4 linked regions of the Saccharomyces cerevisiae S288C genome follow. The protein of the gene in region 1 interacts with the protein of each later gene in a biochemical or structural test. Each region holds a gene or a part of one and is shown in the gene's direction. Other genes may lie near its edges. The genes, in order: RPT5, MOT2, NAS2 and GAL4.

Evidence for each region.
Region 2: of the proteins of RPT5 (region 1) and MOT2, one has a biochemical effect on the other in vitro, tested with the Saccharomyces cerevisiae proteins (one study listed by BioGRID).
Region 3: the proteins of RPT5 (region 1) and NAS2 form a complex in vitro, tested with the Saccharomyces cerevisiae proteins (3 studies listed by BioGRID, with this or other methods).
Region 4: the proteins of RPT5 (region 1) and GAL4 form a complex in vitro, tested with the Saccharomyces cerevisiae proteins (one study listed by BioGRID).

The regions. Positions count from the first base shown.
Region 1 is NC_001147.6:543,337-548,342, forward strand, and holds RPT5 (proteasome regulatory particle base subunit RPT5), read left to right. Parts: upstream 1-1,692; coding exon 1,693-2,997; downstream 2,998-5,006. Other genes in the region: DNA-directed RNA polymerase III core subunit RPO31, read right to left, coding at 1-809; RTC5 (Rtc5p), read left to right, coding at 3,521-5,006. UniProt on the Saccharomyces cerevisiae protein: The 26S proteasome is involved in the ATP-dependent degradation of ubiquitinated proteins. The regulatory (or ATPase) complex confers ATP dependency and substrate specificity to the 26S complex.
Region 2 is NC_001137.3:290,259-296,022, forward strand, and holds MOT2 (CCR4-NOT core ubiquitin-protein ligase subunit MOT2), read left to right. Parts: upstream 1-2,791; coding exon 2,792-4,555; downstream 4,556-5,764. Other genes in the region: RRT13 (Rrt13p), read left to right, coding at 1-541; RGI1 (Rgi1p), read left to right, coding at 1,808-2,293; ARG56 (bifunctional acetylglutamate kinase/N-acetyl-gamma-glutamyl-phosphate reductase), read left to right, coding at 5,152-5,764. UniProt on the Saccharomyces cerevisiae protein: E3 ubiquitin-protein ligase component of the CCR4-NOT core complex, which in the nucleus seems to be a general transcription factor, and in the cytoplasm the major mRNA deadenylase involved in mRNA turnover.
Region 3 is NC_001141.2:341,744-346,131, reverse strand, and holds NAS2 (Nas2p), read left to right. Parts: upstream 1-2,475; coding exon 2,476-3,138; downstream 3,139-4,388. Other genes in the region: protein disulfide isomerase EPS1, read right to left, coding at 1-440; YIA6 (NAD+ transporter), read right to left, coding at 949-2,070; ubiquitin-related modifier URM1, read right to left, coding at 3,297-3,596. UniProt on the Saccharomyces cerevisiae protein: Acts as a chaperone during the assembly of the 26S proteasome, specifically of the base subcomplex of the 19S regulatory complex (RC).
Region 4 is NC_001148.4:78,273-84,902, reverse strand, and holds GAL4 (galactose-responsive transcription factor GAL4), read left to right. Parts: upstream 1-2,546; coding exon 2,547-5,192; downstream 5,193-6,630. Other genes in the region: putative rhomboid protease RBD2, read left to right, coding at 1-394; YPL247C (uncharacterized protein), read left to right, coding at 707-2,278; GTPase-activating protein GYP5, read left to right, coding at 5,550-6,630. UniProt on the Saccharomyces cerevisiae protein: This protein is a positive regulator for the gene expression of the galactose-induced genes such as GAL1, GAL2, GAL7, GAL10, and MEL1 which code for the enzymes used to convert galactose to glucose.

The DNA.
Region 1 (5,006 bases):
GGCCTTATACAAACCGGAGGTGCGGGTAAATATCTCCATATGTAAGTCTCTGGTCTACCAGAGGGAACTGTTGCATCTATACCAAGCAGCTCACAATCTGCAGACTTAATTTGCTTGAAAAGATTTAAAGTTTTCAGTGGATTTAAATCATCCATACAACGTTTCACATAACGCTCTAGTTCTGGATTATGAGCAAGAACTTCCTTCCATTCTCCCACCCAAATATCCTTTTCAGGAGCGGACTTTTTACCTACCCAACGAAATGTATCATGGATAATCTTCAACGCGGCTGAACCAGCACCAGCAGCGGCTTTTTTCACGACACCATTAAGAGCACCACAATGCAGACACCTTCTTTGCTTTTTACATTGGTCCAAAATCTTCTTCAATATACCCATACGTCTTAAATTATCTACGCCTGGACGACGAAGTTCATGCAAAAATTGTCTTTTATCTGTTTCTGATAACAATATGGCAGAACAGTTTTTACAGATACCTTGCAGTATTTGAATGGTGGCTTTGAAGTACCCAATGTGGAAAACAGGCAAAGCTAATTTTAAGTGACCAAAATGGCCATGACACGATGCCAAGTTGCCGTGACAGGTTGCACATTCAAGACTGGAGGAAGAGACACCCATCTTGGGGTCTAAAGCACCGTTCGCCTTAGGAGCACGATCTTTTTCTAAATCGAAGAGATCTCTTGTAGACACTTCCACTTCAGACTGGGCGACAATATCGGCAGCGCTTAAAGCGCTAAATTCCAGCCCTTTAATCCTTTTCGGGGTTTCACTTACAACGACTTCCTTCATCGAATTCTTCGAAATTGCGGGACTCGCTTACAGTTTTGGAGAAAGCAGATAGTATTGAACACAATAAAGGAACAACTATGTAACCAACCAGTGATGAGTTTAAAAATTTAGTGCAGATGGAAAAGAAAAAAATGATCTAGTATACTGTCTGCAATCAACAAAAACTCTAGCCACAACAAACTAAGCAATCTTCCCCAAATCAACGATATTGTACGATTAATATATGCAAAGAATAGTAAGGTAAGCTATAGTAAAAGGGCAAGTTTAACCTCTTCTGTTATTTGATCTGGTGATGAGTTCTGCCAGAAGAGCCTGTGCAATAATTTTGCAAAAAAAATGGCAAATTTCGTGAAACACGATATTCACGTATATAGTGATGATAATAAGCATGCTATATATCAGTAGTATGTATTTTGCAGCTTCTACTTTCTGCAATGTGATGCCGTTGGCATTGAGATTCCAACGAATATACACAGATGCCTGATTTGTTTGCGATTAGTTACTGTAATAGAGAAAAAAAAATTTAAAAAAGACGAAAGCCCAAAAGAGACGAGTGCAATTAGTGGCTGATACTTTATACTATGTTTAATATATATACCTGGTTTACCTAGTGAGTATGTTCGTAAAAAAATAACGTCAGTAATGGTTGTTGGTCGGCAGCCTTGGCGAATTCCTTTTATTAGCAATGGTTTAATCATGTAGTTACCCGGCCAATATGTGGTGGCAAAAATGAATTAATGTATATTTTACTGAAAAGGACCCCATTAATGAACTCTTGGGTAAAAAGGGCACATCAGGAGTTTGTCTAAAACGTTTATACGAGTGACTTATTTGTGCATTATAGAGGTGAGAACAAATTGGAAAGTTTTGATTTTAGTTTAAGATGGCCACCTTGGAAGAATTGGATGCTCAAACTTTACCAGGAGACGATGAATTAGATCAAGAGATTTTGAATCTTTCGACGCAGGAGCTTCAAACAAGAGCCAAGCTCTTGGACAATGAAATTCGTATTTTTAGATCTGAATTGCAAAGACTGTCCCATGAAAACAACGTTATGCTCGAGAAGATTAAGGACAATAAGGAAAAAATCAAGAATAATAGACAGTTACCGTACCTTGTGGCTAACGTTGTCGAGGTCATGGATATGAATGAGATTGAAGACAAAGAAAATAGTGAATCTACTACACAAGGTGGTAATGTCAACTTAGATAACACCGCTGTTGGCAAAGCTGCTGTAGTCAAGACTTCTTCTAGACAGACTGTTTTCTTGCCCATGGTCGGTTTAGTAGATCCTGATAAACTTAAGCCAAATGACCTGGTAGGTGTGAATAAAGACTCGTATTTGATTTTGGATACTTTACCCTCTGAATTTGATTCTCGTGTAAAAGCTATGGAGGTAGATGAAAAACCCACAGAAACTTACTCGGACGTGGGTGGGTTGGATAAACAGATTGAAGAGCTGGTGGAGGCCATTGTGTTACCTATGAAACGTGCAGATAAATTCAAAGATATGGGAATTAGAGCGCCCAAGGGTGCCCTAATGTACGGGCCTCCGGGTACAGGTAAAACTTTATTAGCTCGTGCTTGCGCGGCTCAGACGAATGCTACTTTTTTGAAGCTGGCAGCACCTCAATTGGTACAAATGTATATCGGTGAAGGTGCTAAACTAGTCCGCGATGCTTTTGCACTGGCCAAGGAAAAGGCACCAACTATTATTTTCATTGACGAATTGGATGCCATTGGTACTAAGAGATTTGATTCTGAAAAATCCGGTGATAGGGAAGTGCAAAGAACCATGCTGGAATTATTGAATCAATTGGATGGCTTTAGCTCCGATGATCGTGTCAAAGTCTTGGCGGCTACCAATAGAGTTGATGTTTTAGATCCTGCTTTGTTAAGATCAGGAAGATTGGATAGAAAAATTGAATTCCCACTCCCATCCGAAGACTCGAGAGCTCAAATTTTACAAATTCATTCAAGAAAAATGACCACTGATGATGATATTAACTGGCAAGAACTTGCCAGGTCTACTGATGAGTTTAATGGTGCCCAGTTAAAGGCGGTAACTGTGGAGGCAGGTATGATTGCCTTAAGGAATGGGCAATCTTCCGTTAAACACGAAGATTTCGTTGAGGGTATAAGTGAAGTTCAAGCAAGAAAATCGAAATCGGTATCCTTTTATGCATAAAAATAATAATATTTTGATTTATCAAGCCGCCATTCACATATCTACATATTAGAACAATCCTTTTATTTAAAGTCGCGTAACTTCCTTATTATTGATACTGTATATGGCTAATTGTATACTACTTATTATTTGATGAAACCGAAAGCGTAGCAACAGGTATATATTCATTGGCGTTTGACTTTTTTTTTTACTGTATTTTTCTTTTTCGTTGGCACTTTCGCAATTTTCAAGGATGCATTGAAGGAAAGAGAAAAGCGTAGGAGAACAAGACGCATCGACGGCTACGGGTGCTTTGAGTATTTAACTTGCAGAGCTCCATATACAGCACACATCTGTAGATGATTTAGTGACATATTAATAGGCTGCAGAAAGGGAGTAAAACAGGTAGAAGTAAGATATCGGCACCATTCTACTTTTCATATAACGATTGATTAATCTTACCAAAGCATTAAATTTAAACAGGCTTGCAGACTGAAGGAGTACTACTAAAGCAACCGGACCAGGTAATATTTGTTGTAGTATTATGGGACAGTCTTCTTCAATCAGTTCCAGTAACGAAGAGGGTTCTTCCCACTCAAAAAAATTCACAAATAGCAAAGATATTTTGGCATATTTCAATAACAAAGCACAGCAACAGGTCACTATTCCAGAATTAGTCAGTTTTAAGGGAAATTTGCAAATTGAAGATCTAAACACTCCAATTTCTCACAAAGCTTTATGCAACTCACTTTATTTTCCGCAGAATCATGCCATGATTGTTGGGATAGTGACTAACATGTTGAGGGTTTTGAGCAACTTCCCATTAATGAAATCATCTTACGAACCAATTACGGGATATGGGTTATTAAAATGCATTTTGTTGTTAAACAGGGCACGATGTGCCAAATTCTTGAAAACCAAGTCCTATGATCAACTAAAACTGCTGTTTATCTCTTTATCACTTCAGAAAACTGACAAAGAAGAACTCTCCGAAGAAAGTGAAAACGACGGAAACAAGGAGTTGACTATAAAACAAATAATAACTGGGTTTGATGATGTTGATACAGAAATGCTGTGCATTCCTGCTGATTTTATGCTTCAGTTTTTAACTTGGCTTTTAATTTTAACAGTTGATTGTCCAACCACCAATTCTAAATTGGATAATACAGAGACTCATGATCAATGGGGCAATTTCAAAGTCTCAGCACTCAATCTCCTTAGAACTATGAATCCAGACGTGGTGGGCGATATAGAATCACATTCCATAACGTTTCAACAATTTTCAACTGCAATAAGAACTGTAATGCCCAATCTATTAAAACCATTAGAGAATTTAATGGAGCATTTTTTTTATTTGCAGCACGATTTAGTTGATCATGACACAAACTTATCGTCTATTCAGGATTCTAAAGTTATGACTCCAGCACTGTTGGCACAGTTATCGACGGGACTACCAAAGGAATTATTTATTCATAAGCTACAAAGTTTATACATCGGCAGGAAAAGTGGCTTCTCAATGAGGTCTTTGCAAGCAAAGGTGTTCAAATGGATGGCGCCTTCGATTTTAGTTGTTAGCGGAATGAGGATAACAAATTCTGAAGAATACGCAGCTGAGAAGAATCCAAGATACCGCCATTTTCTTGAAGAATTTCCTAAATTGAAAGAGTCAGATCAAATGATGGATGCATCGCATTTGAATAAAAGGAAAACTACTTTCGCTGTGTACATAGACGATCCGTGGAAAGTAACAAATAAAGATTATTTTGGCGATCTGAATACGAGAATAATAGAAATATCACCCAGGCAGGATATTTATAAAGTCAACCAAAAAGGCACGATCTATTTCAATACAATTGGTGGCGGAATTGGAATCGGGGATAAACAACCATTAATAAAACCAGCATCCAAGAGATACATACCAGGGAACGTGTCGCTTACTTTTGACAGCACATTAGAATTTGCTGTGTTTAGAAATACTGGTTACGGAGGTTCATTAGACCCTGGTTTATTGTCGATGGAAAGAAAGGAGG
Region 2 (5,764 bases), on another chromosome or scaffold:
CTTGAGTGGACATACGGATCGTATTTATTCGACAATCTACGATCATGAAAGAAAAAGGTGCATCTCTGCCAGTATGGATACCACTATTAGAATTTGGGATTTGGAAAATATAAGGAATAATGGAGAATGTTCCTACGCAACAAATTCAGCATCGCCATGCGCCAAAATACTTGGTGCTATGTACACTTTGCGGGGTCACAGAGCCCTAGTCGGTTTATTGGGATTATCCGATAAATTTTTAGTCAGTGCTTCTGTAGACGGTTCAATAAGGTGTTGGGACGCTAACACTTACTTTCTGAAGCACTTTTTCGATCACACGCAGTTGAATACAATCACCGCATTGCACGTTTCTGATGAGGTATTAGTGAGTGGATCTGAAGGTTTGCTCAATATTTATGATTTAAATAGTGGGCTGTTAGTCCGTTCAGATACATTGAGTGGTGCTGATAATGTTTGGAACGTTAGTTTTAAGGACAACACACTTGTGGCAGCGGTAGAACGAGACAAGCGAAATCTTTTAGAAATTTTGGACTTTAGTTGAAGATTGATGTGAGAATGATGCAGAACTTACCTTGTCACGTTTGGAACTCAGTTGTACTTTTTCGGTGTAAACAAATATAAAACTTTAGAATTTACATTAATAAGTTATGTGCTATTTATTAGTTTAATATATCAACATTAATTACATGCGAGCTATGTATTATTAGCTCAATCAGCAGGACTAAAATCGAGGAAAAAGTAATTTTGTTTATGCCCAGTTCAGTTATCGTCCATTTGTAGCAAATGTGGTACAAGTTGACCCATATTTTCATGCATTGGGCCATGCAGTAATTATCACACTCACTTTGTCATAATGTATACAATGGCCGCTTATTTGCGACTCGTCTCATATTTTTCCTGAAACTGTAGCTGTGTGTAATATTATTCATTAACTTCGATAATTCGGCTACAGAAGACAAGAGCTACATCCTTACTGGTGCGAATAAATGACATAATCTGTCAAGAGTACCGAAGTAAAAGCAACGATTGCCGAACACATCTTCCTGAAGTATCATATGCCAATACAAGGTTTCAATAGGAATTATGAAAGCGGCATTATCACCCTTAATCTGAAATATGTAATGATGACGGTGCAGTATGTTGACTACATTGTAAAGTTGCACTTTCACTCAACTCATGAAATTGATGACATTAATCCTACGTGACTTACACATATGCCATGAACGAAGAAGGTGGCACCAAAAATCCAGCGTTTCCGATATACACGCAGTCAAATGTTCAGACTAAACTTTGGTATTCTGACAACGTGTTGTCATACCTGTTACGAGCCAGAAACGTATTTCTTTTTGGGTGATACAATCTCCAGATGACTGCTTTTTTTTTTTTTACCCCAGATTCAGGGGCCGAAGGAACGGAAATGCGGTGTGGCGAGATTGCGGATGTGCTAAAAAATAATATCCTCGAGGCAACCAGCATAATGTGGACGGCTCTCGGCAATTGACTTCCATAACAAATGCATCCTGTAATCAGGGGTATTATAAGTTACTGTATGGTTAATTAAATATAGAATGAAAGGGGCAGCGTTCTTAAGGGGTATTGCTGGGTGGAAAAATACAAGTGTCTTTACTTGATTGTGTGCACATATATAAGGCAAAAGATTTCTAGCGTATATTTGAATCTTTTGTTCTTCCACGTTCAAATTTCTTTGGTCAAAACATTTCATAAAGGGACAAGTTCTGCATTGTATTCTAATAATTGCCCATAGAACATATAAATTAGGTATCGACTGTTTTCGTCTCCACTTTAAATGACAAAGAAGGATAAGAAGGAAGTAAAAGTTCAAACGGTTACCACGGAGGATGGTGAAACCGTGAAAGTTTTTGAAGACCTGCAGGGTTTTGAAACTTTCATTGCCAATGAAACTGAAGATGATGATTTCGATCATTTGCACTGTAAATTAAATTACTACCCACCATTTGTGCTACACGAGTCGCACGAGGACCCTGAAAAAATTAGTGATGCTGCAAATTCTCATTCTAAGAAGTTCGTGCGTCACCTGCACCAGCATATTGAAAAGCATCTTTTGAAAGATATTAAGCAAGCCGTTAGGAAACCTGAGCTTAAATTTCACGAAAAATCGAAGGAAGAGACATTTGATAAAATCACCTGGCATTACGGTGAGGAAACTGAATACCATGGTAGACCTTTCAAGATAGACGTTCAAGTAGTTTGCACACATGAAGATGCTATGGTATTTGTCGATTACAAAACACATCCTGTAGGCGCAAATTAAAGGTTGTGTCATAGAGAATGTGTTAGTACTGAATCCTAACCTCCCAAATTCATAAGTAGTTTTATGTACCTTTAATGATTTACGATTAGCAACTTTTTGAATTTTTTTTATTGAAATGTTGAGCCCGAAGACGTGAAACGCTATAAAGTAGTATCACTGTTACGCCGCGAAACCTGATAATGTATTGTTAAACTACTACCTGGTCGATGATTATATCGACGCTTCTAAAATGAATGCTATTACCCGAACTTCCACTTGATTGCCGTCTCTTCCCGGGTAACATTGTAAGTGTGAATATGATTTTTTTTTTTGCTTTCTCTTTTCAAAATTTCCGAAAAGCATATCAAGACGTGTACTACATACAGTAAAAGCCCTCCTAGGGTTTTCAGTAGTGGTTCGAATAGTATAGATTACTGCTTTTGTTACTCTGCAACAATCCCAAAACTTAATAAAAAGTACAAAAGACCAAATAAAAGTATCGTATATAATCCAGTCATAATGATGAATCCACACGTTCAAGAAAATTTGCAAGCAATCCACAACGCCTTAAGCAATTTTGATACGTCATTTTTATCGGAGGATGAAGAAGATTATTGCCCTCTTTGTATTGAACCAATGGATATTACTGATAAAAATTTTTTTCCTTGTCCCTGTGGTTATCAAATTTGTCAATTTTGCTACAATAATATCAGACAAAATCCAGAATTAAATGGCCGTTGCCCAGCATGTCGTCGTAAATATGATGACGAGAACGTCAGATACGTCACATTATCTCCGGAGGAGTTAAAAATGGAGAGAGCCAAGCTCGCTAGGAAGGAGAAAGAAAGAAAGCATAGAGAAAAAGAACGTAAAGAGAATGAATATACGAATAGGAAACATTTATCTGGTACCAGAGTTATCCAAAAGAATTTAGTGTACGTTGTTGGCATCAATCCTCCTGTTCCATACGAGGAAGTTGCGCCCACTCTGAAATCTGAAAAATATTTTGGCCAATATGGTAAGATAAATAAGATTGTGGTTAATAGAAAAACACCCCATTCTAACAACACAACCAGCGAGCATTATCACCATCATTCACCAGGATATGGCGTTTACATAACCTTCGGATCCAAGGACGATGCTGCAAGATGTATAGCTCAGGTAGACGGGACGTATATGGATGGCCGCCTGATCAAAGCTGCCTACGGTACTACTAAATACTGTTCTTCTTATTTAAGAGGATTGCCATGCCCAAATCCCAACTGTATGTTTTTGCATGAACCTGGTGAAGAAGCTGATTCTTTTAATAAAAGAGAACTCCACAATAAACAACAAGCGCAACAGCAAAGTGGCGGAACTGCATTCACTAGATCTGGAATACACAACAATATATCTACCAGTACCGCTGGTTCAAATACCAATTTACTAAGTGAAAATTTCACAGGCACACCTTCACCGGCGGCGATGAGGGCTCAGTTACATCATGACAGCCATACAAACGCTGGAACACCGGTATTAACACCTGCTCCGGTCCCTGCAGGGTCAAATCCTTGGGGAGTTACTCAATCAGCAACACCTGTAACCTCTATCAATCTCTCTAAAAACAGCAGCTCCATAAACTTGCCAACATTAAATGATTCTCTGGGCCATCATACTACCCCCACAACAGAGAATACCATCACAAGTACGACAACTACTACCAATACCAATGCTACAAGTCACTCCCATGGTAGCAAGAAGAAGCAATCTCTTGCTGCAGAGGAATACAAAGATCCTTATGACGCACTAGGGAATGCTGTTGACTTTTTGGATGCAAGACTACATTCTCTATCAAATTATCAGAAGCGCCCTATATCTATCAAATCCAATATTATTGACGAAGAAACTTATAAAAAGTATCCGTCTTTGTTTTCTTGGGACAAGATTGAGGCCTCAAAGAAAAGTGACAATACATTAGCCAACAAACTTGTGGAGATCCTGGCTATAAAGCCAATAGACTACACTGCTTCTGTCGTTCAATTCTTGCAGAGTGTCAATGTTGGTGTAAATGACAATATTACAATCACAGATAATACGAAAACTCCCACCCAACCAATAAGACTGCAAACCGTCTCACAGCAAATCCAACCACCATTAAACGTCAGTACCCCTCCACCGGGTATCTTTGGTCCACAACATAAGGTTCCTATTCAGCAGCAACAAATGGGTGATACAAGCTCAAGAAATTCCTCTGATTTACTAAATCAACTAATCAACGGAAGGAAAATTATCGCCGGTAATTAATCCGACTCTAAATATTTTTCTTGTTTGCATTAACCATAATTTTATCTATTTTTATTTCTCATGAATATATAATCTCTCCGTTTATAACGAAATGCAAGAAAAAAAAATCTCACCCATTTTTTTAAACCTTTGACGTGGAAAGGTATCTGGGAAAGGTATCTGGCTAATGAATAATGCCATAGCATATACCAGTATAGTCTATTTACTCGTTACAACGTATGAAAGCGTCAGCGCTGCAAGAATGACTAATTCATAGAAAATAATCATCATGATATATATCATAATGCACGGAACCTGCTTCGCTAATTTTTTCACTTAAATCACATTTTTTCAACGAAATCTCTTGCGCAGTTGGTTGGAATTCTTATCCGAATGACTCAGTCTACATCAAAAAACTGTGGCCGAATGGTGGTAATTGATGACTCTTCTATTTTTTTTTTTCATATAAAGAGCTTGCGCGCGTGTTGTTGTTCGCTATCCATTTCCATTAGGAACATTTTTGGATATTATTTTTCAGACCCGTAATATACTTAACACATATACCACTAAAGGCAAAAGAAAGAGAGATCTGAAGTGAGAAATAAGTCTGCATCATTATGCCATCTGCTAGCTTACTCGTCTCGACAAAGAGACTTAACGCTTCCAAATTCCAAAAATTTGTGTCTTCATTAAACAAATCCACCATAGCAGGATTTGCATCTGTACCCTTGAGAGCTCCACCATCCGTTGCATTTACGAGAAAGAAAGTCGGATACTCAAAGAGGTATGTTTCATCTACTAACGGCTTTTCAGCTACTAGATCCACTGTGATCCAACTGTTGAACAATATCAGCACAAAAAGAGAGGTTGAACAATATTTGAAATATTTCACTTCCGTCTCACAACAACAATTTGCTGTGATCAAGGTGGGTGGTGCCATTATCAGCGACAATCTACACGAACTCGCTTCCTGCTTGGCATTTTTGTATCATGTTGGTCTATATCCAATAGTTTTACATGGTACCGGTCCTCAGGTTAATGGAAGGCTAGAAGCGCAGGGAATTGAGCCAGACTATATTGATGGTATTAGAATCACGGATGAGCACACAATGGCCGTAGTTAGAAAATGTTTTTTGGAACAAAATCTTAAGCTAGTTACTGCATTAGAACAGCTAGGGGTCCGTGCAAGACCCATTACTTCTGGTGTTTTTACTGCTGACTATTTGGATA
Region 3 (4,388 bases), on another chromosome or scaffold:
AGGTTATTTGGGTCCATAGACTCCCTGCGTGCAAATGCAATTAATGATTCTTTGGTCCTCGGTGTTTCAGTGAACGATTTGATGTATCCTGAGGGGTTATAAAGTCTAATTTCAGGGAAGTATTCAATATTTTCATCTCCACACAAATCGGCGCTCTCGATGCAGTTAACCTGTGAAAATGTTATGTTCAGTGTTTTGCTCTCCTCTTTAAACTCCTCCCATGTTTCCATCCAAACAGGTGCTAAATGTTTGCAGTGCGGACAGTATGGACTATAGAAGTCAATAATATGCAGCCCCTTAGATAGCTCTTCTTTGAAGTTTGTTGGATTTAAGGGCTCTGGAAAGCCCTCTGGTGGTTCAGCGGCGGCTATAGTGAATTTCAGCAGAAAGGTGATGCATGAGAAGAAGGTAACTACGAGCCTTTTCAGATTCATTTTCATGGCTGCTGCCTTACAGCTAGTTTTTATAGATAGTATTTTTCTTTCCTGGATAGAATTTCTTGAGGAAAATAAATAAGGAAATGAGTATCAACACGAGGAACAGTACAGGCGCCTTCTTAGTGCTATGATCTTCACTGGTTTATGCTTTACGTCTTTATCGCACTAAATTGAAGCCATTCATTTGTTCGCACCTATTTCCGCTTCAAAAATAGTATTTAAAAAAGAGACTATTTTGGTAAGGATAAGCTAAAATAGTGCCAAGAAAACGGCCAATGTAGAATATTGTCAAGACTATGAAAATGTATAAGTATATTTTGTCTATAGAATCATGTGGGTGTATATAATGTGTGCGCAAAGCATTTGGTGGGCTGTTCGATGCAAATCCTTTTAGTATTAGGAAAAGAGAGGCTTACCTTATTTGGTATATTTACAAGCTGTAATACCTAAAATATTAGCGCAGGCATATTCATAGCACACTCAATGTGTGGCGTGTGTGAATTTTAAGGCTTTAAATTACCATAGTGCTAATATTTTCTAGGCGGTTTCTGAAATACTCAAAGGACACTAGAGTGATTGCCGAGGCCGGAATGGTTCGTACTAGGTTAGTAGTAAATCCAGAATAAAATCCCTTTAGTCCCTCTTGTGCATAAGTTGCTTTAATGAGGGGGAACAGACGTCGTTGAATGGAATCTGGTATATCTGATTTCAGTTGCATTCTGGTTCGTAAAATTTCGTGCGGATATGTTACTGCTGATGCAATCATCTTAGAGACGGACGATGCCATGATCAACCGTTGCAAGTTGATGGAGTTGGTGTTGTTCTCCCGAGAATAGCAGTGAAATCTTACCTTCAAATCTTCGTATATAGGGAAATGGATAGCCACATGAAATAGCCCTAATAATGAGGGGACCAGCCCCGCATATAATGCTTTAAACCCTTCCTGATAAAATAGCTTTCTGAATGCATCGAAAGTGCCTTTGTAATGTGTGGGGTGCTCACCGAGGTTTGATTGCAGCATAAGTCTTGTCTTCACAACCCAGATTGGGTTGGTCAAGGTGGTAGATGCAGCGCCTGCCGTGATTGCAGCACATGACTGAGCAACAAAATCAAACTGTGGGAAGATGCCGTGAAAGAACTTTTTGCTGAATTCATACACGGAGAAGTATATCATCCAGGTTGGGAAGTAGCCCAGGACAATCGGTACCAGCCCTTTGTAGAGGCCCCGCGGGCCTTCGTCTCTTACTATAGTACTTAATGTCCCCATTATCCCCCTATAGTAGGGGTTCTCGAACCTAGTTTGTAGTCCTTGTGCTTGCAATCGCGTTTTGGCAACATCGAGGGGACATACTGCCACACCTGATAAGAATCCAGCAAATGCGCCGGAAAGAGCTGTGATCTGAGTTGAGGATAGTGGTACCCATTTCTTTCGCAGCGTTGTCCCTATAATTGACTCAGTACTGCTGTTCATCTTGATGGGCTCGATGATATCTGCTGAGGACAGTTGGGAGGAATGATCAGGGAATATCAATTGTTCTTCATGCAACAACAGTGGCTCTTCATGGTCTGCAGAGCAATACTGCTGCTCGGGCAGTAAACCGCAGTTGGGGACAGGATTATCAGTCTGTGTCATTGTGCTAAAGACTGCTGCCTTCAGTGTTGATCTCACTACTATTACGGTTGGCAGTCTGTAGTAGAGATTCTTTTCAGAATTCGATTAAGCACTAGGCCGGTGGGTAACCCCTAGAAATTGGTGCTATTGGACCATATTATGAGAGTCATTTAAAGGGCCCTTCGGGCTGGCTCACATAAAGGTTGGGATCTATGACCTTTATCAATACGGATCTTACTACTGGCTATTCATTAATTCTCGAAATTTGCTGTCCCTTGCGTGCGCCGTGGATTGTGTTCGATAAGGCTTACTTTATAACGGTTGGAATATTGGATAATAAAGGGAAAAAAAATGTTCAGCATTGAGAGATAGAAAAGTTATCACCAGAGTAAAAAGGAGCAAGAATTAGAATAAGAACGAACTACAATGGAGGAAGAAGAATTAAGTAAATTGTTGGCCAATGTTAAGATAGATCCGAGCCTAACATCAAGAATTAGTCAAATAGACAGCTTCAAACTGTCGGAATTGATGGTTCTAAAGACAGATATTGAGACACAACTAGAGGCGTATTTCAGTGTGCTTGAGCAGCAAGGCATCGGCATGGACTCTGCGTTGGTGACGCCAGACGGGTATCCTCGTTCGGATGTCGATGTATTGCAAGTCACTATGATCAGAAAGAATGTTAATATGCTGAAGAATGATTTAAATCACCTTTTGCAAAGATCACACGTCTTACTAAACCAGCACTTTGATAATATGAACGTTAAGTCAAACCAAGATGCAAGAAGGAATAACGACGATCAAGCTATTCAGTATACCATCCCTTTTGCATTTATCAGTGAGGTAGTACCCGGTAGCCCTTCAGATAAAGCAGACATAAAGGTTGATGATAAGCTGATTTCTATTGGTAATGTGCATGCGGCAAACCACTCTAAACTTCAAAACATTCAGATGGTTGTAATGAAAAATGAAGACAGGCCACTTCCCGTCCTTCTCTTGAGAGAAGGGCAAATCCTAAAGACATCGCTAACACCTTCGAGAAACTGGAATGGTAGAGGTCTTTTGGGTTGTAGGATACAAGAGCTATAATCTTCGTCATGTACTAAAAAAAACCAATCCAGTTATTACTATTACTTTTTATACTATCTGCATATTACCTACGTTATCTAACTTGTGATTCATTCAAGCTGTACAGCACTTTATATATATATATGTAGCTGCTTCTTAAAAATTATTTGCTGCTATTTTTAACCACCATGTAATGTTGAAGTAAAAGAGATGATGTCACCGTCTTCCAATATGTAGTCTTTTTCGCCTTCGAGCTCCCAATCGGTGTCGTTGATTAATGTGATGATACCGGGTCTTATAGAATCATCTTCGATGAAGATACTAACGTCATTAGGGTTATTGATCATAGTAGATACAATGTGGTCAATCAAATCGCCCACTGTGACAGGATCTTCTTTGTCCATCTTAATTTTATGTACTCTTTGTTTTCCAAAAATAGCATCAAGTCCACCTAGAAACTCCACTTTCACGTTTACCATCCCGATTTTGCTATTAACCTATCTCGTTTTAGTATCAGAAATCAGTATTGTTTTCTGCTTTGGGAATTTTTGAGCTCTCCATACCGTCTGCCAGTAGTATTTCATTAGGTCGATGCGATGCCATTACTTTGTCGTTATATTTTTTCTGCCGAAGTGGGCGACAATGTAATTAAAAAAAAAAGTCTAAATAAGATTGAGAACTTGGGAAGGAACATAATCCGGTATGTGAAATCAATTGAATCTATCCTCTGTCTCGGTATAATATTATACAAGTTAGGAGAATAGTTATATATAAATATATGTGAACTTGTAGAACTGATGGCATTTGATGGCCGTCACATGGTACGCCACTAAAACCTTGATTAAGTAGATTAGATTAGACTAGCAAGTGTTGGTAACGTTTTGTAGGAAAGAGTCTCAAAGTACCCAGCGCCAACTTTTGCTAAAGTCAATCATAAAATATATGTTTTTAAAATATGTAGGTATGCCGTGCATTTTTATTCTTTTTTAATGTTTAGCTTTCAAAAAAGCTAAAATAAACCATAAGCGTTATTCTTATTATATTGATAGTAGAAGAGGAAGAGTGGTTATCTTTACTCAAATTAACGATTGCTTTTATTTCTTACATTAAGGTCGAAACTATTTGCTACTATGAAAGCCAAGCAGAAACAAACAAGACCTTATTAAGATTGATGTTTCAAGCTATGCATTCCCAATTCAGAAGAACAAGGGAAGAGCATAAGACGGCTATCTGCATTTAACAGTAGTGGTCACTCCTACAGTAGTCATACT
Region 4 (6,630 bases), on another chromosome or scaffold:
ATACTATAGTTTTAAAGAATCACAGATCCGCCCTAGAACAAGGATCTTTCGCACAGACTACTCAATTCCGACATTATATACACCCCTAGTACTATTAGTCGCAATTGCCGTCGTTATACCTGGCTCCAGTTTCTGGGGTCATTTTTTCGGCTTATGTGTCGGTTACGCCATAGGCTACAAGGAATCGTGGTTTAACAAGATCACTCCACCAGGATGGATCATCACCAAAATCGAAAAAAGTTTAGACGGTTTAATTCGATTAATACCTTGGGGAATTAAGTATTACAGAGATGAGGATATCGACAGAACTAAAGATTACGAACCGTTAATGTCCACAGAAACACCATTGCCTCTCCACAATGACAACTCCGGCACTGTCCTAGGGACTGCCTAGACATTTGTATCGCTATTCTTTCTTTCACAGTTTAAGGATGTATATAAATGTAGTATATATCATTTTATATTCTAATATGCAAGAATTTTCAGTCTCTTCTTTTTCCTTAGCGTGCGTTTATGAAAAAAAATGGAATATGAATAATTACTGGGAGGAAGACCAGGGGCAAGGGGTGAACCATCTTGTCATCTGAAATCTTGTATAAATAATTTAGTAATCAGTTCTTTAGGTTTTCGAGAGTGGCATACAACCTAAAGGGTCAACAGACAACAAGAAGGAAAGGAATTATAGGAGCAAATACACGCCCTTCAAATGGATCCCTTTCACAATGGCAATAAAAGGAGCTCAATATCGTTTGGCTCATCGCAGCGGCAGCCATATAACAAGAACAATTACTTGAGTGGTACTAATGGGCCTTCCTCGGCGGCACAAGATCAAGGTAGAGGCCCATCTCCCTTTGGAATGTCTGGCAACACTACCAATGGCGGTAACAGCAAAAGGAATAGTGGCTGTGACCTAAGTGCCACGTACTATGCAAGTCGATCGCCGATGTATTCACCGTTAGATTTCTCGCCACCAGTTTTTTCACCAAATCATTCTCAGTTACAGCAGGCGAGGGGCTATGCTGCAAATATTCCGGTTGTAAGCAATCTGATGAACCCTTCCATGGCCTCCGTGTGCGAATATCAATCACACTATCCACTCTTTGGGCTCGATTGGAGCGCCGACGACTACGTCTGCTTGGGTTCGTACAAAGAGGACAGCAGAAATAAGTTGCAGGTTCTGCACTCTAATGATCTACTGAGCTGGGAAAGCGTAGTGGACGCAGATGTGGTTTATCCTGTGAGCAAAATCCAATGGGTCCCCTCTCAATTGTATCCAAGGAAACTCGCGACGTGTTCTGACTCCTTACGGATTTGGAGCGTTAGCCCTGAGGAAAGACAGTTCCAAGAACAAATAAATCTATCTCTGTGTAAATACAATAGACAGCACCCCGCCAATCCCGCGGCCGCAGATGACATGAAGGTCATAGGCACTTTCCCACCAATAACATCATTTGACTGGAACACGGTCGATACTAACTTGATAATCTCAAGTTCCATCGACACCACATGCATTGTATGGGATCTGCAAAGCAGTCACTACGTTAAGACCCAATTGATCGCTCACGACAGCGAAGTTTTTGATGTAAGGTTTTTGACAAAATCGACCCAATTATTTGCTAGTTGTGGTGGGGACGGTAGTGTACGAGTATTTGATTTAAGATCGCTTGCGCACAGTACAATTATTTACGAGCCTCCCTCTTCCTCAGTGTCTGGAGCCACTGCGGGTACTATAACACCGTCGTCGAAAGGTTCGGACGCCTTATTGAGGCTGGAGCCATCACCGTATGACCCAAATGTGTTGGCCACTTTTGCAGCTGACTCGAACAAAATCATTATTCTAGATATGAGGAACCCAGAATCCCCTATACTAAACTTACAAGGCCACGGTTCTTCGGTAAACGGGATTAAATGGCATCCCACAAAGCGCAATGTTTTGCTCTCGTGCGGAGATGACTGCCAGGTGCTCTATTGGGACTTGAACAGCTCCTTTATGGAAATTAACGCTGCAGGTAGCAAATCCCCCAGTATTCATGGAACTTCCTTGGAGGACCCTGACGGCGACACAGAGATGACAGACGGTGGCGCAGGATCCGGTTTAAACGAGGATCCCTTAAGTTTAAACAACAACAGCAAGCAGGTGTGCAAGACACTAGAGACTCCTAACATGATGTATGCCAATAAAACACAAGAGATAAACAACATTGCATGGAGGCCCCAGAGGGGCGATTGGTTTGGGTGCGTGAGCGGCAAGAAGTTTCAAAACGTCCGCGTCCTTTGAGACAGCATTCGCCCAGTATTTTTTTTATTCTACAAACCTTCTATAATTTCAAAGTATTTACATAATTCTGTATCAGTTTAATCACCATAATATCGTTTTCTTTGTTTAGTGCAATTAATTTTTCCTATTGTTACTTCGGGCCTTTTTCTGTTTTATGAGCTATTTTTTCCGTCATCCTTCCCCAGATTTTCAGCTTCATCTCCAGATTGTGTCTACGTAATGCACGCCATCATTTTAAGAGAGGACAGAGAAGCAAGCCTCCTGAAAGATGAAGCTACTGTCTTCTATCGAACAAGCATGCGATATTTGCCGACTTAAAAAGCTCAAGTGCTCCAAAGAAAAACCGAAGTGCGCCAAGTGTCTGAAGAACAACTGGGAGTGTCGCTACTCTCCCAAAACCAAAAGGTCTCCGCTGACTAGGGCACATCTGACAGAAGTGGAATCAAGGCTAGAAAGACTGGAACAGCTATTTCTACTGATTTTTCCTCGAGAAGACCTTGACATGATTTTGAAAATGGATTCTTTACAGGATATAAAAGCATTGTTAACAGGATTATTTGTACAAGATAATGTGAATAAAGATGCCGTCACAGATAGATTGGCTTCAGTGGAGACTGATATGCCTCTAACATTGAGACAGCATAGAATAAGTGCGACATCATCATCGGAAGAGAGTAGTAACAAAGGTCAAAGACAGTTGACTGTATCGATTGACTCGGCAGCTCATCATGATAACTCCACAATTCCGTTGGATTTTATGCCCAGGGATGCTCTTCATGGATTTGATTGGTCTGAAGAGGATGACATGTCGGATGGCTTGCCCTTCCTGAAAACGGACCCCAACAATAATGGGTTCTTTGGCGACGGTTCTCTCTTATGTATTCTTCGATCTATTGGCTTTAAACCGGAAAATTACACGAACTCTAACGTTAACAGGCTCCCGACCATGATTACGGATAGATACACGTTGGCTTCTAGATCCACAACATCCCGTTTACTTCAAAGTTATCTCAATAATTTTCACCCCTACTGCCCTATCGTGCACTCACCGACGCTAATGATGTTGTATAATAACCAGATTGAAATCGCGTCGAAGGATCAATGGCAAATCCTTTTTAACTGCATATTAGCCATTGGAGCCTGGTGTATAGAGGGGGAATCTACTGATATAGATGTTTTTTACTATCAAAATGCTAAATCTCATTTGACGAGCAAGGTCTTCGAGTCAGGTTCCATAATTTTGGTGACAGCCCTACATCTTCTGTCGCGATATACACAGTGGAGGCAGAAAACAAATACTAGCTATAATTTTCACAGCTTTTCCATAAGAATGGCCATATCATTGGGCTTGAATAGGGACCTCCCCTCGTCCTTCAGTGATAGCAGCATTCTGGAACAAAGACGCCGAATTTGGTGGTCTGTCTACTCTTGGGAGATCCAATTGTCCCTGCTTTATGGTCGATCCATCCAGCTTTCTCAGAATACAATCTCCTTCCCTTCTTCTGTCGACGATGTGCAGCGTACCACAACAGGTCCCACCATATATCATGGCATCATTGAAACAGCAAGGCTCTTACAAGTTTTCACAAAAATCTATGAACTAGACAAAACAGTAACTGCAGAAAAAAGTCCTATATGTGCAAAAAAATGCTTGATGATTTGTAATGAGATTGAGGAGGTTTCGAGACAGGCACCAAAGTTTTTACAAATGGATATTTCCACCACCGCTCTAACCAATTTGTTGAAGGAACACCCTTGGCTATCCTTTACAAGATTCGAACTGAAGTGGAAACAGTTGTCTCTTATCATTTATGTATTAAGAGATTTTTTCACTAATTTTACCCAGAAAAAGTCACAACTAGAACAGGATCAAAATGATCATCAAAGTTATGAAGTTAAACGATGCTCCATCATGTTAAGCGATGCAGCACAAAGAACTGTTATGTCTGTAAGTAGCTATATGGACAATCATAATGTCACCCCATATTTTGCCTGGAATTGTTCTTATTACTTGTTCAATGCAGTCCTAGTACCCATAAAGACTCTACTCTCAAACTCAAAATCGAATGCTGAGAATAACGAGACCGCACAATTATTACAACAAATTAACACTGTTCTGATGCTATTAAAAAAACTGGCCACTTTTAAAATCCAGACTTGTGAAAAATACATTCAAGTACTGGAAGAGGTATGTGCGCCGTTTCTGTTATCACAGTGTGCAATCCCATTACCGCATATCAGTTATAACAATAGTAATGGTAGCGCCATTAAAAATATTGTCGGTTCTGCAACTATCGCCCAATACCCTACTCTTCCGGAGGAAAATGTCAACAATATCAGTGTTAAATATGTTTCTCCTGGCTCAGTAGGGCCTTCACCTGTGCCATTGAAATCAGGAGCAAGTTTCAGTGATCTAGTCAAGCTGTTATCTAACCGTCCACCCTCTCGTAACTCTCCAGTGACAATACCAAGAAGCACACCTTCGCATCGCTCAGTCACGCCTTTTCTAGGGCAACAGCAACAGCTGCAATCATTAGTGCCACTGACCCCGTCTGCTTTGTTTGGTGGCGCCAATTTTAATCAAAGTGGGAATATTGCTGATAGCTCATTGTCCTTCACTTTCACTAACAGTAGCAACGGTCCGAACCTCATAACAACTCAAACAAATTCTCAAGCGCTTTCACAACCAATTGCCTCCTCTAACGTTCATGATAACTTCATGAATAATGAAATCACGGCTAGTAAAATTGATGATGGTAATAATTCAAAACCACTGTCACCTGGTTGGACGGACCAAACTGCGTATAACGCGTTTGGAATCACTACAGGGATGTTTAATACCACTACAATGGATGATGTATATAACTATCTATTCGATGATGAAGATACCCCACCAAACCCAAAAAAAGAGTAAAATGAATCGTAGATACTGAAAAACCCCGCAAGTTCACTTCAACTGTGCATCGTGCACCATCTCAATTTCTTTCATTTATACATCGTTTTGCCTTCTTTTATGTAACTATACTCCTCTAAGTTTCAATCTTGGCCATGTAACCTCTGATCTATAGAATTTTTTAAATGACTAGAATTAATGCCCATCTTTTTTTTGGACCTAAATTCTTCATGAAAATATATTACGAGGGCTTATTCAGAAGCTTCGCTCATATAACGAAAAAAAAGGGTTTGGATCGAACGTAATTGAGATTGATTAGTTAATACTCAAAATAAAACAGCTCCTACCACCAGTGTAAAGTAGAACGTTAATAGAGCAATGTCTTCAGACAAATCTATTGAGAAAAATACAGATACGATCGCCTCTGAAGTTCACGAAGGTGATAATCATTCGAATAATTTGGGTTCAATGGAGGAAGAGATAAAATCAACGCCATCAGACCAATATGAAGAGATAGCTATAATTCCAACTGAGCCCCTCCATTCGGACAAAGAACTAAATGACAAGCAACAAAGTTTAGGCCATGAAGCACCCACAAATGTATCAAGAGAAGAACCTATTGGGATCTCTGGTGATGAAGACACCCAAATCACTGAACAAAACGTTAATGAACAAAGGCAAGAAACGAGAGAACCTAGTTCTGAAATTGATTTAAATGAGCCATTGGATGTTGAAAAAGATGTGACAACGGATGTGCAAGCCCCAAATGGGCTGAATATTGAAAAAGAATATGATGCAGTCAAAGAGAATGAGAAGGTTTACGCTGATACGAAAGAGGTTGTTAGTAGTCCAGAAAATAGGGAAGTAACTGGAAAAAATTCTGGAGGTGAGAAATCATCCTCGAGTAAATTTCTCGATGACGAATCTGGTACTACGACAGCTGCAAATGCGAACGACATTTCTATAAGTAGTGAAGTAACCCCAGAAAGGTCGTCAGAAAATGATAATAACCAGATTCATATTACCAATGAGGTAGCCGCAGGAATAAACTTGAATGAAAACAAGGAACAAAAAGCTGCTATAGAAGATGGGCCCGTAACAGCAGAGAATCTTTCCTCAGAAACTGCTAGGAAAGTACCACCTATACCCACACAAATCATAAATGAAAAAGGTGATAACTCAAGCGAGAACGAGGTTTCCGCAATTCCCACTACATCTTCGCCACCATTACCACCTAGACAAAATGTTGCGACATCAACGTCACCAAAATTACCTCCAAGGGGCAAACAAAGGGAACAACCACCGAAGACGAAGAATGCTGTTCCACCGCCACTAGAGGAAGAAATGAAGTCAGAGAAGTTCCGTAAAAACTTCGAAGAAACTAAAAGAAATAGTTATCATCATGTTCCTCTCACTGGTTCCAAAACTGCGCAATTAGAGTCCACTGCAGAAATTAATT